Canis lupus familiaris: one gene and its partner. The protein of the gene in region 2 interacts with the protein of the main gene of each other region in a pairwise test. Links are inferred from orthologs where the notes say so. Each region holds a gene or a part of one and is shown on either strand. Other genes may lie near its edges.

What was found. The genes of interacting proteins can lie anywhere in the genome.
Region 1: the proteins of CCDC184 (region 2) and PBLD interact in binary tests that used the Homo sapiens proteins (3 or more experiments, as listed by UniProt). The two-hybrid records come from large-scale screens. The link is inferred for Canis lupus familiaris from reciprocal best matches to the Homo sapiens genes CCDC184 and PBLD.

The regions. Positions count from the first base shown.
Region 1 is NC_049225.1:20,241,386-20,245,856, reverse strand, and holds part of PBLD (phenazine biosynthesis-like domain-containing protein), read left to right. Parts: intron 1-2,868; coding exon 2,869-2,968; intron 2,969-3,335; coding exon 3,336-3,434; intron 3,435-4,471.
Region 2 is NC_049248.1:40,009,403-40,013,810, reverse strand, and holds CCDC184 (coiled-coil domain-containing protein 184), read right to left. Parts: upstream 3,035-4,408; 5' UTR 2,946-3,034; coding exon 2,358-2,945; 3' UTR 2,235-2,357; coding exon of another isoform or gene 2,233-2,234; 3' UTR 2,163-2,232; coding exon of another isoform or gene 2,152-2,162; 3' UTR 1,128-2,151; downstream 1-1,127.

The DNA of each region.
Region 1 (4,471 bases), on a different chromosome or scaffold from region 2:
TCTTGTCCTAAAGGTGGAGGGAGGGAAGCAATAGACAAGGAAAAGAAGGACAAAGATAGGGAGTTTGGTCAGATTGGAGGAGGAAGGACTGGCAGGCACTGCACGTTTCTGCAGCCATGGTGGCAAATCCAGAAAGACCAACACAGGCTTTTCATTATCACCCCTTCAACTGCCACTGAGGCCTGTGATTGCAGACTCTGCTGTAGGGAATTAATTGGCTTCTAGTTTCTCTCAGGTGTTATATGCCCAGGCACATGGGCCTGTTTCCACACAGAACATTCAATGAGCCAAGAGACATGCTTCTTAACATAGTTGCTTTGTTGGCTGGTCTGTCCAGCATACCCTATACCCTCTACTCAGGTGGACTACTCACTCCCCAAGCCCAGGGGTGACAGGTATTCATGCCACTTCATTCCTACCATCCTAATTTTCCTTACCTCAGTTCACAGAATCCTAGAGTGTCAAAGATTTAACAGAAAGAGAACAGAAGTGAGGTCAAGTGATTTGCCCAAGAAGCATCCCCAATATGAAGCTCTTTGCCCACATTTTCCTGTCCAACTCACCAAAATATGCCCCATTTCTAAGCCCACCTCACAGCTTCATCTTTAAAGTCCTAGATTATTTATTGTAAAAATCTATGTGTCTCAATTACATACCCTCTGCTGTTTCTCACTGTTGCTTTTCGATTCCCTGCCAGGTGCTAGGTCCCTTGAACATGGGGTTGTATCTTATCCACCAGGGCTTCTCAAACTTTAATGTGCACCCAGATAACCTAGAAATATAGTTTAAAAAAAAAAAGGAGAGTCTGATTCAGAAGGTCTGGAGTGGGGCCTGAGACTCTGTATTTCTAACAAATTCCCTTGGTAGTGGTGCTGGTGCTGCTGGCCTAGCACAGCATTTGGTAATTGGCTGATGGCTGCTTTCTCTTAGAAATGCTGAAGGAATCCGTCAAATCTGATAGACATTGGTTTTCCTGTCTGCAGTGTTTTAAAGGGATAATAAAAGTTTGTCTTTGTTATGGGTAGGTAGAGTAGTGTGGCTGGTTAAAGCATGGGTTTCAAAATAAAAGCTAACCTTTACCAAGTACTTACTGTGTGTTAGGCATTGTGAAGAACACTTTATATCATTATTGGATTTAATCTTTGGAAAGAAAAATGTTAAGTAAAACACAAAACCATTGTGTTATGTTTGGGTTATCAGATAATGAAGACCAATTTAAGTCATTTCTCTTTCTCTAGGACTACCGAGTGTCTATAGATTTTGAATACAGTGCTCCTTTAAGAAAAGCTTTGTAAATCCACTAGAATTTTTATATCAGCTGATAGTTTAAAAATCATGACTGATTTCTCACAATAACCACTTATTTTGTGCCTTATATGAGGATGTGGAAAGTGTTTCAAAATAATTTGAATCAACTAAAAGATAATGGATGCTTAACCTATATAAGTCAGATAAGTGAATTATGAATTTATTAGTATAAAGTTATACATCTTATTTCTGGGTTTTGGGGTCTTAAGAATAGTAAATTTGGCCAAAGCAAAAATGCATTTGTCTTGAGAATTCTTTAGAATTCAAAATCTAACTAGTAGCAAGCATTTGTTGATTAAAAAATTTATTTTCGTTCTCTAAAGGAAAACTCATATTTCTGACCCTTTTTTTCTTGAGTTGAGAAAATGTGTGTGTATGTGTATATATGTATTTTTCTGATTTTACAGTAACTCTTTTGTCTAAGTACTGTTGTCTTCATTTTATAGGTGTGGAAACTGAGGCTCCATGAAATTAAATGACTTGTCCACCCTTGCACAGCTACTAGGACTTGACCCAGGATACAAATTCACATCACTTTTTAAACCATTTATTTTGAAAAATTAAAAACTTACAGAAAACTTTTGAGAATGGTACAATGAACATCCATATACCTTTCCTCTTGATTCACTGATTGTTACCATTTACAAAGCCCACATTCTTAGCCACTTTACCATTTATTCAGCATATTGTGACCTTAGAATATTACACAACCTCTCTGTATTTGATTTCTTTATGTGCAAGTAGTTAAAAATATCTATACTGAGTGTTTTAAAAATGAAGATAAAGTGGGGCGCCTGGCTGGCTCAGTTGGTAGAGCATGTTACTCTTGATCTTGGGGTCATGAGTTCAAGCTCCATATTGAACATAGAGCTTATACACACAAAAAAAGTAAAAATGAAGATGTGAGTCCAGCAAATGTTTATTGAGCTGCTACCATTCTGGGATGAATCCAACATATAAGCCAGATAAAAATCAAGATAGCACATTGTATGCCCTCATAAAGTCAGATGTTGGACAACAGACAGTGAAGGGATACACTGGGCAAATTCAGATGGTCTAAGCACTGGGAGAAAACAAAGCCTTTAAAGCAGTCTGGAAGGCTTCCTGGAGGAGGTGACCTCTAACCTGAGGCTTGACTCATGAAAGGGATCGAACCACGTATAGTGGGAGCAGAATGGGCCAGCCTACCCAGAGTGGATGCTGAAGATCTTTTTATTCAACAAGAAAGGGAGATTGTGGAGTTTCCCCTTGTGGAGATTGTTTAGAAGAGAGCACATGCTCTCAGGTAGACCAGATAATAACCTCAAGAAAGGGCTGGCCAGTAGGTTTTCCAGAGTCTGTTCTAGCTTTGTGCATCTATAGCTCCTCACAGAGTGCTACAAGCATAGATTTCTGAGAAACAATCTTTGTAAAAGTGTCTTGACTTCCTTGGCAATTATTTCCCTTTAAGCTTGTAACTGTTAATACTAATAAGCTGTGTTATTAACTAATGGCAGTTGCTGTCCAAGGAAGTCTGATTTGTTTTTCTGGAATCTCAATAAACTTTTGTTTCTAATTTAGAAATTGGATGAAGACGTACATCAAAAAATTGCAAGAGAAATGAACCTCTCTGAAACTGCTTTTATTCGAAAACTGAACCCAACTGACAACTTTACACAAAGTAAATATGCTTTTTTTTTTTTCTTTAAGCCATTCTTGAACAGTAGCAGAAGCTACTTTTCCAGTGGGGGAATGATATTTAAGAGAGATGCCCATATACTATTTGCATACAGACAGGAGAGAAGGTGGGGAGATTCTAATTTGGTTTTGTTCATCTGGGGGAGCCCTAGGATGTTAGATAATTTGAATGTTTCTGCTCCAGATCTGTCACTGGGGAGCCCTAGGATGCTGGCCTAGACTTCACTCCTCCTTCACAGTGTATTTCAGCTATTATTATAGTGAAATATTTAGAAAAGAATAAGAAAATGAAAAGTTTGTGACCACTTGTATGGGAATGATCTTGTCTCTCTTTGGCTTTCCTTCTGAAGGTTCCTGCTTTGGATTGAGGTGGTTTACACCGGCAAGTGAGGTTCCGCTCTGTGGCCACGCTACCCTGGCTTCTGCAGCTGTACTGTTTTACAAAATAAGTAATGTGATTTTCTTTTATGAACCTATAACTGAGCAAATAGCAAATATTTTTAAAAATTGTCACTCTTTGTAATGAATCAAAGTGACTGCTATAAAGACATTGCTGAGTCTATTCATGCCATTCATTACACTGAAACAAATATAGCCCCCGAAACTTTGGCCTTTCTGAGTATGTTCCAGGCCTGTAGGAAAGCCATGGTCATTGTTCCCTAGAACGCCATTTTATTTTTTTATTTTTTTATTTTTTTCGCCATTTTATTTTGAACACGAGCTCTTTGGTGTCTGACCAGCACAGGAAAGGAGCTTGCAAGACCCAATAGGCATCCTACATGATGTGACATTTTGCTCCAAATATGTCCCCACCCACATTCAGACTCATTTCACAAGAGCTTCTTCTTCTTTTTGAAGTAAACCATGCTCAACATGGGGCTTGAACTCACGACCCCAAGATCAAAAAGTCACATGCTCTATGGACTGAGCCAGCCAAATACCCCTCACAAGAGCTTCTTCACTCTGATGTTTAAAGATTCATGAGCCCCGACTATATACATTTTCCTTGTGAAGAAATGAAGCTGCACCGAAATTCTACCAGTTTTCATCTTAGCTACATTTAGTATAATAAAGATTAGGGCTTGGTGGGAATGAGGCAGAAGAGAGATGCCTAGAAACACCTTGTAAGTGGAGATGGAAGCAGCCATGAATAGGTGTAGACAACAAACAAGAACTTAAACAAGGAAATAAACAGGAAGATATGATGGAGTAACTGTAAGGAGAACAGAGTTGGAAAAGGAGGTTCTCTGGGGAGTTACTTAGATAGGGACAATACTGGGAGGTGTTACAGCGCAAGTTTCCCTAGGAAGCACATTGCATGCCAGAAGAACTGTGGGCAGTATTCTTGAGTAAAGAAAGCTGAATAGAACAGAGGGAGAAGTTGAGCTGCAAAGTGGTAGCAACAAAAAAAAGGCATACACCAAATCCACAGGTAGATCTGAAGCTGCGAAGATCCTTCAGGTGGTACAGTTCCAAATAGAAACAA
Region 2 (4,408 bases):
GCACAACCCAGAACTTCCTCTCGTCATCCTTTACAGGGCTAGTCCCCAAGACCTTTTTGGCCCATAACTTCACAACATCTATGATGAAAAGCACCTTGGGAATCTCGTCATTCCTAACCTTTATCCTGAAGGTTAAGAGTTCTTTAGACAGGGAAGGATTATATATAAAAAGAGAGCTTCTAGAACCTTCATTAGGTAGTTTTGTTTTCCCAAAGGAGCCAGTCACTACCATCATCACCCCATCCCAAGAGAACTAACTATTAAAAGAACTAACATTTGCACAAGAGTTACTACAGGTCTTAGATATTTTTATCCCCAACAACTTCTTGTCCCCATTTTACACCTGCAGAAATTAGGTCTCAAGCAGCAAACCAAGTCTCAGTCATTCAGTGTTGGAACTGAGATTCAAACCCAGATCTGTGATTCTGGTGCTCTTTGAAGCCTCTCCACAGGCACGCGTGCTCACACACACACACACACACACACACGCATATGCATACACCACAGCACTCCAGCACATTCTTCTCCCCAATTTGTTTGGGGCAGCCTTAGGAAATTCCATGGCCCAAGGGAGCAGACTAGAGCCGATGTCAGTCTGAGCTCCGCAGGGAATACCTTACTGGCATTCTCCACTAGGGGCTTGAGGCAGTTATTGTGCTTTCTTTTGTGATGTGTCACTCTCCTCTCAGAGATCCTGGGCAATCCCTCTGGAACAATACCCACAATACCCCACCCCTAACCCTCCCATGGAACAGGTGTCATGCCTGCCATTCCTGGACTCAGATTTCGAAGTCATCTCTCAGGGAGGGAGCAGGCGCTTCACTGAAAAGAAGTCACTTGCACACCTGGAGTTCTGCTACTAAAAGCCCTGGTTAGTTTGGGAGACTCAACATATACCCTTTCCTTCCCCCGTCCAGCTTGAGTTCAGAGTCCAGGATGGAAGGGAAAGGAGGCAGAGCTGGCGACGCGTGTCCCAACCAGGGCAGGGTCAGCCAACTCCTTGGAACTGGAGGCAAGGAGAGAGGAGGGAAGGCATGGTCCCTGCAGTCCCCCCTAAGCCCCGGTCCATGTAGCATGTAGCGGGCCCAGAAGCCCCACCCTGACATCCCCCTAGTACCAGTCAGCAAGGAGGGGAGATGACGCCTCTTTATTAAGGTTAACACCAAGGAAAGCATTGAGAAGGAATACACAGCGGAGGAGAAAGGGCACACAAAGTCACTACTTGAAGAGGTGGGAGGGAGGCACATCAGTTAAGAACCTCAGGACAGCCACATGCTCCATGCCCTGGTTGTGGGGAAAAGAGGAAAGGACAGGGGAAAGCGCCATGATAGCCTGGGGCTCACAGAAGGATCTGAAGCCCCCTGAACCTAACACCAGAGCCACAAGCCCTGCCCCTCAGGGCTCACACACTACTACACAAGTCGACACACATAGCACACACAAGACATCATGGAGGCAACACCGAGAGGCAGCGGGCAGGGACAGATCGACAGGAAAAGGAACTGAAGTTAAGCGGGTGTAGCCAGGAGAGAGACAGTTTTTGGCTGCGGCCCCCAAGAGTCCCTCAAACGTCCCCTAAATCTGGGCTGCTGCTGAGCACCCCAAGTCTCTGCCTGTGTACTGGGCTCTTTGTTCTCTAAGCCCCAGTGAGTGGATAAAGCAATCCCAGATGAAGTCAGTGACAAGGCAGGATCCGCTCTGCATGCAAAAATCCTAGAGGTTGAGCTATTAGGTCTTCATGCACATTCATAGCCAGCTCCTCCCAGCCCGGGGGCCCGAGGAACCCCATTCACCCAGATTCCTAGGGCTGCAGTTCCCTCCTCAAGCTTCCTTTACCAATCAGCAGCCGCAGAGATCTGTGAGGGGGAGAGGCTTCTGCAGAGCGCTGAATATCTTGGATTTCAGCAGAAGGGTAAATTTTCTGTTGCCAGAACAGAATACCCCCAACTCCTTAGTTTCTAGGTAAATCGTTAGAGATTATTTGCCATAGTCCTAGATAAGTCCTTTTTCAGAATAGAAAAAGCAGAATTTTATTTACACAATTCAGGGGTTCTCCTGTTGGCTGGGGAGGGGGAATGGGCAGGGTAGGGGATGGATGGGAGTCCGGAGATGGGCGCTTCCTCTCCCGGAACCTCACCTTTCGGCCGTTCGCTAGGTCTCCCCTGGTTAGGCAGAAAGAATCCTTGAGCTCCCAGGGTCCTTCACCCTACGCATCCTTCCTCGAGGCAGTCTCTCTGCCCGACCCACGAGAGCAGCGGTCGGAGGGAAGCATGCTGCACCGCGCCGTCCAGTCCCCTCGCGTCATGCACTCGGAAACCCAAAGCCAGCCCGGGAAAGTGGCGCCCCTCGGAGTCCCCTCACAGAGAGGCCTCGCCCTCCAGCTGCAGCAGGGTAATGTCGGGCGGGTCGAGGGGCTCCACAAGTGGCCCGTCCCCCCCAAGGAGACCGGCACAGGGGCTCTCGGGGCGCTCACAGTGACTAGTGGGTGTGGCGGAGCCGGGCGTCTCCTTCTCGTCTTCTTCATCGTCGTCCTGGTCCTCGGGATCGCGACCCAGCAAACCGCTGTCCCCGATCGCAGGCGAAGGGGTCTCCGGCTCTCGCGGGGCGCCCGGGAAGCTCCCCTTGCCGCCGACCACGCCCAGGCCGCCCTGGCGGGGCGCCGTGGTCATGATCTGGCACATGGAGACGATGGCCCGCTGGTTGGCGCACACGTCGTCCGAGAGCACCTGGATGTGCGAGGCCTGCTCGTCCAGGGCCCCCCGCATGGCCCTCACGTCCTCGAACAGGGCCTGCAGCTGGGCCTTCAGGTGCTCCATCAGTTCCTTCATGCCGCCGTTGTACTCCGCGGAGATCACGTCCCCCACGGCCGGCACGGTGGACACCTCCAGAGGTGCCGGCATGTCGCCGCCGTCCTTGGTCATGATCTCCAGCGGACCGTCCTCCATTGAATGGCAGAAGCGGGCGGCGGCGTCTGGGTCCGGTCCAGCCCGGCCCCCGGGGTCGGGGTCGGGGTCGGGGGTGGGGGAGGGAGGGAGGGAGGGACGGGGCAGGGGGAGAGGCCCCCGGGGGGGTGGCGGGGAGGGGCCGAGGGAAGAGGAGGCTCCCGAGGGGGGCGGGGAGCCGACGGGAGAGGCGAGTCCCGAGCCGAGCGAGGGCGCCGGCACGGTCGGAGGAGGCCGGGAGGAGCCGGCGGCACGCGGACCCTCCGCCTCGCCCCGCGGCCCGAGCGCCCGCCCCCGCCTGGCCTCCCGGACTGCGCCCGGGTCAGCGCCGCCCTCCGGGCGCCACGAGCGGCGAGTGCCCGCGGGCTCTCGGGGTCCCCGAGGCGCTCGCGGAGGCCGGCGGCGGGGACCGCTCGGGACTACCCGGGCCGGGAACCGGCGGCGCCCGCGAGCGTGCCTGGAGTGGCAGGGGCGGGCCTCCCAGCCGCGCCGCGGATGCGCCCCTGTTTCCAAGGCGACGCACGGCACGTAAATGACGTGCGTCTCCATGGCAACCGGGAAGTGGCGACGAGCGGGGAGCGCGGCGGCGGAGCTGCAGTGGGGCGGGGGTGCTGCGGGGGCCTCCCGGGGGGGAGCGCGGCCGGCGGCCTGCGGCAGGGACCTCCGTCCGGGTCACGAGACGTCGTCCTGCCTCGGCGCCCGCTGCCTTGGGAGCCCCCCCGCCCCCAGGCCTCCCTTCGGTCAGAGGATGGCGCCAGCGCCGGGCCTCGCCGCTCTGCCCCCGGCCGCGCGCACGAAGCGAAGGACCCGGAGGCGCCCGGGAGCCGGCCCCGCCCGGCCTCGGGGTGCAGAGCGCGGGGCGGGCGCCCCGGAGGCCTCGCCTCTGGCTCCGGCCTCTGCAGCGCCCCCCCCCCGCCGCAGGCCGCGCGGAAGCGGAGGAAGCGCGCGACTCCCTCCCAGCTGAGCCAGCCGGGGCGGCCCGGGGCGCGGGGAGGATTCCGGCCCGCGGAGGCCCGCGCTTAAGGCCCGAGGACGGAAGCTCCCCAAGGTGCGGGCATCCTCGGCTCCCCGCCCTCAACCCCGGAGTCCCCGGCACCTAAGATAGTGCCTGGCGCGTAGTAAGTAAAACGCTCTCTGTGTTGGTTGAATGAACCCTCGGCCAGAACCGCGGGGCGCCCCTGTTCCCTCCTCCAGAGCTCTGCAGCCCACACAGCCGATTTCAGGGGACCTGAATCCGATTTTGTTCCTGCCTTGGAATTCAGAGACCTTGGGTATCGCTTCTCTCGGCCTTTTGGCCGTAAGACCAAGTGCGGAGACCTTGGATGAATAACTTTCCTCATCTGTTAGGGGATTGGATTGAATAATCTACAATATTATCTCTAACCCTGACACCGCATCAGCTCACGGGTGAAAGGGATGGATGGGGACAGTGTGTGTGAGGGCAGTCCCCCTCCCCCCACCCCCAG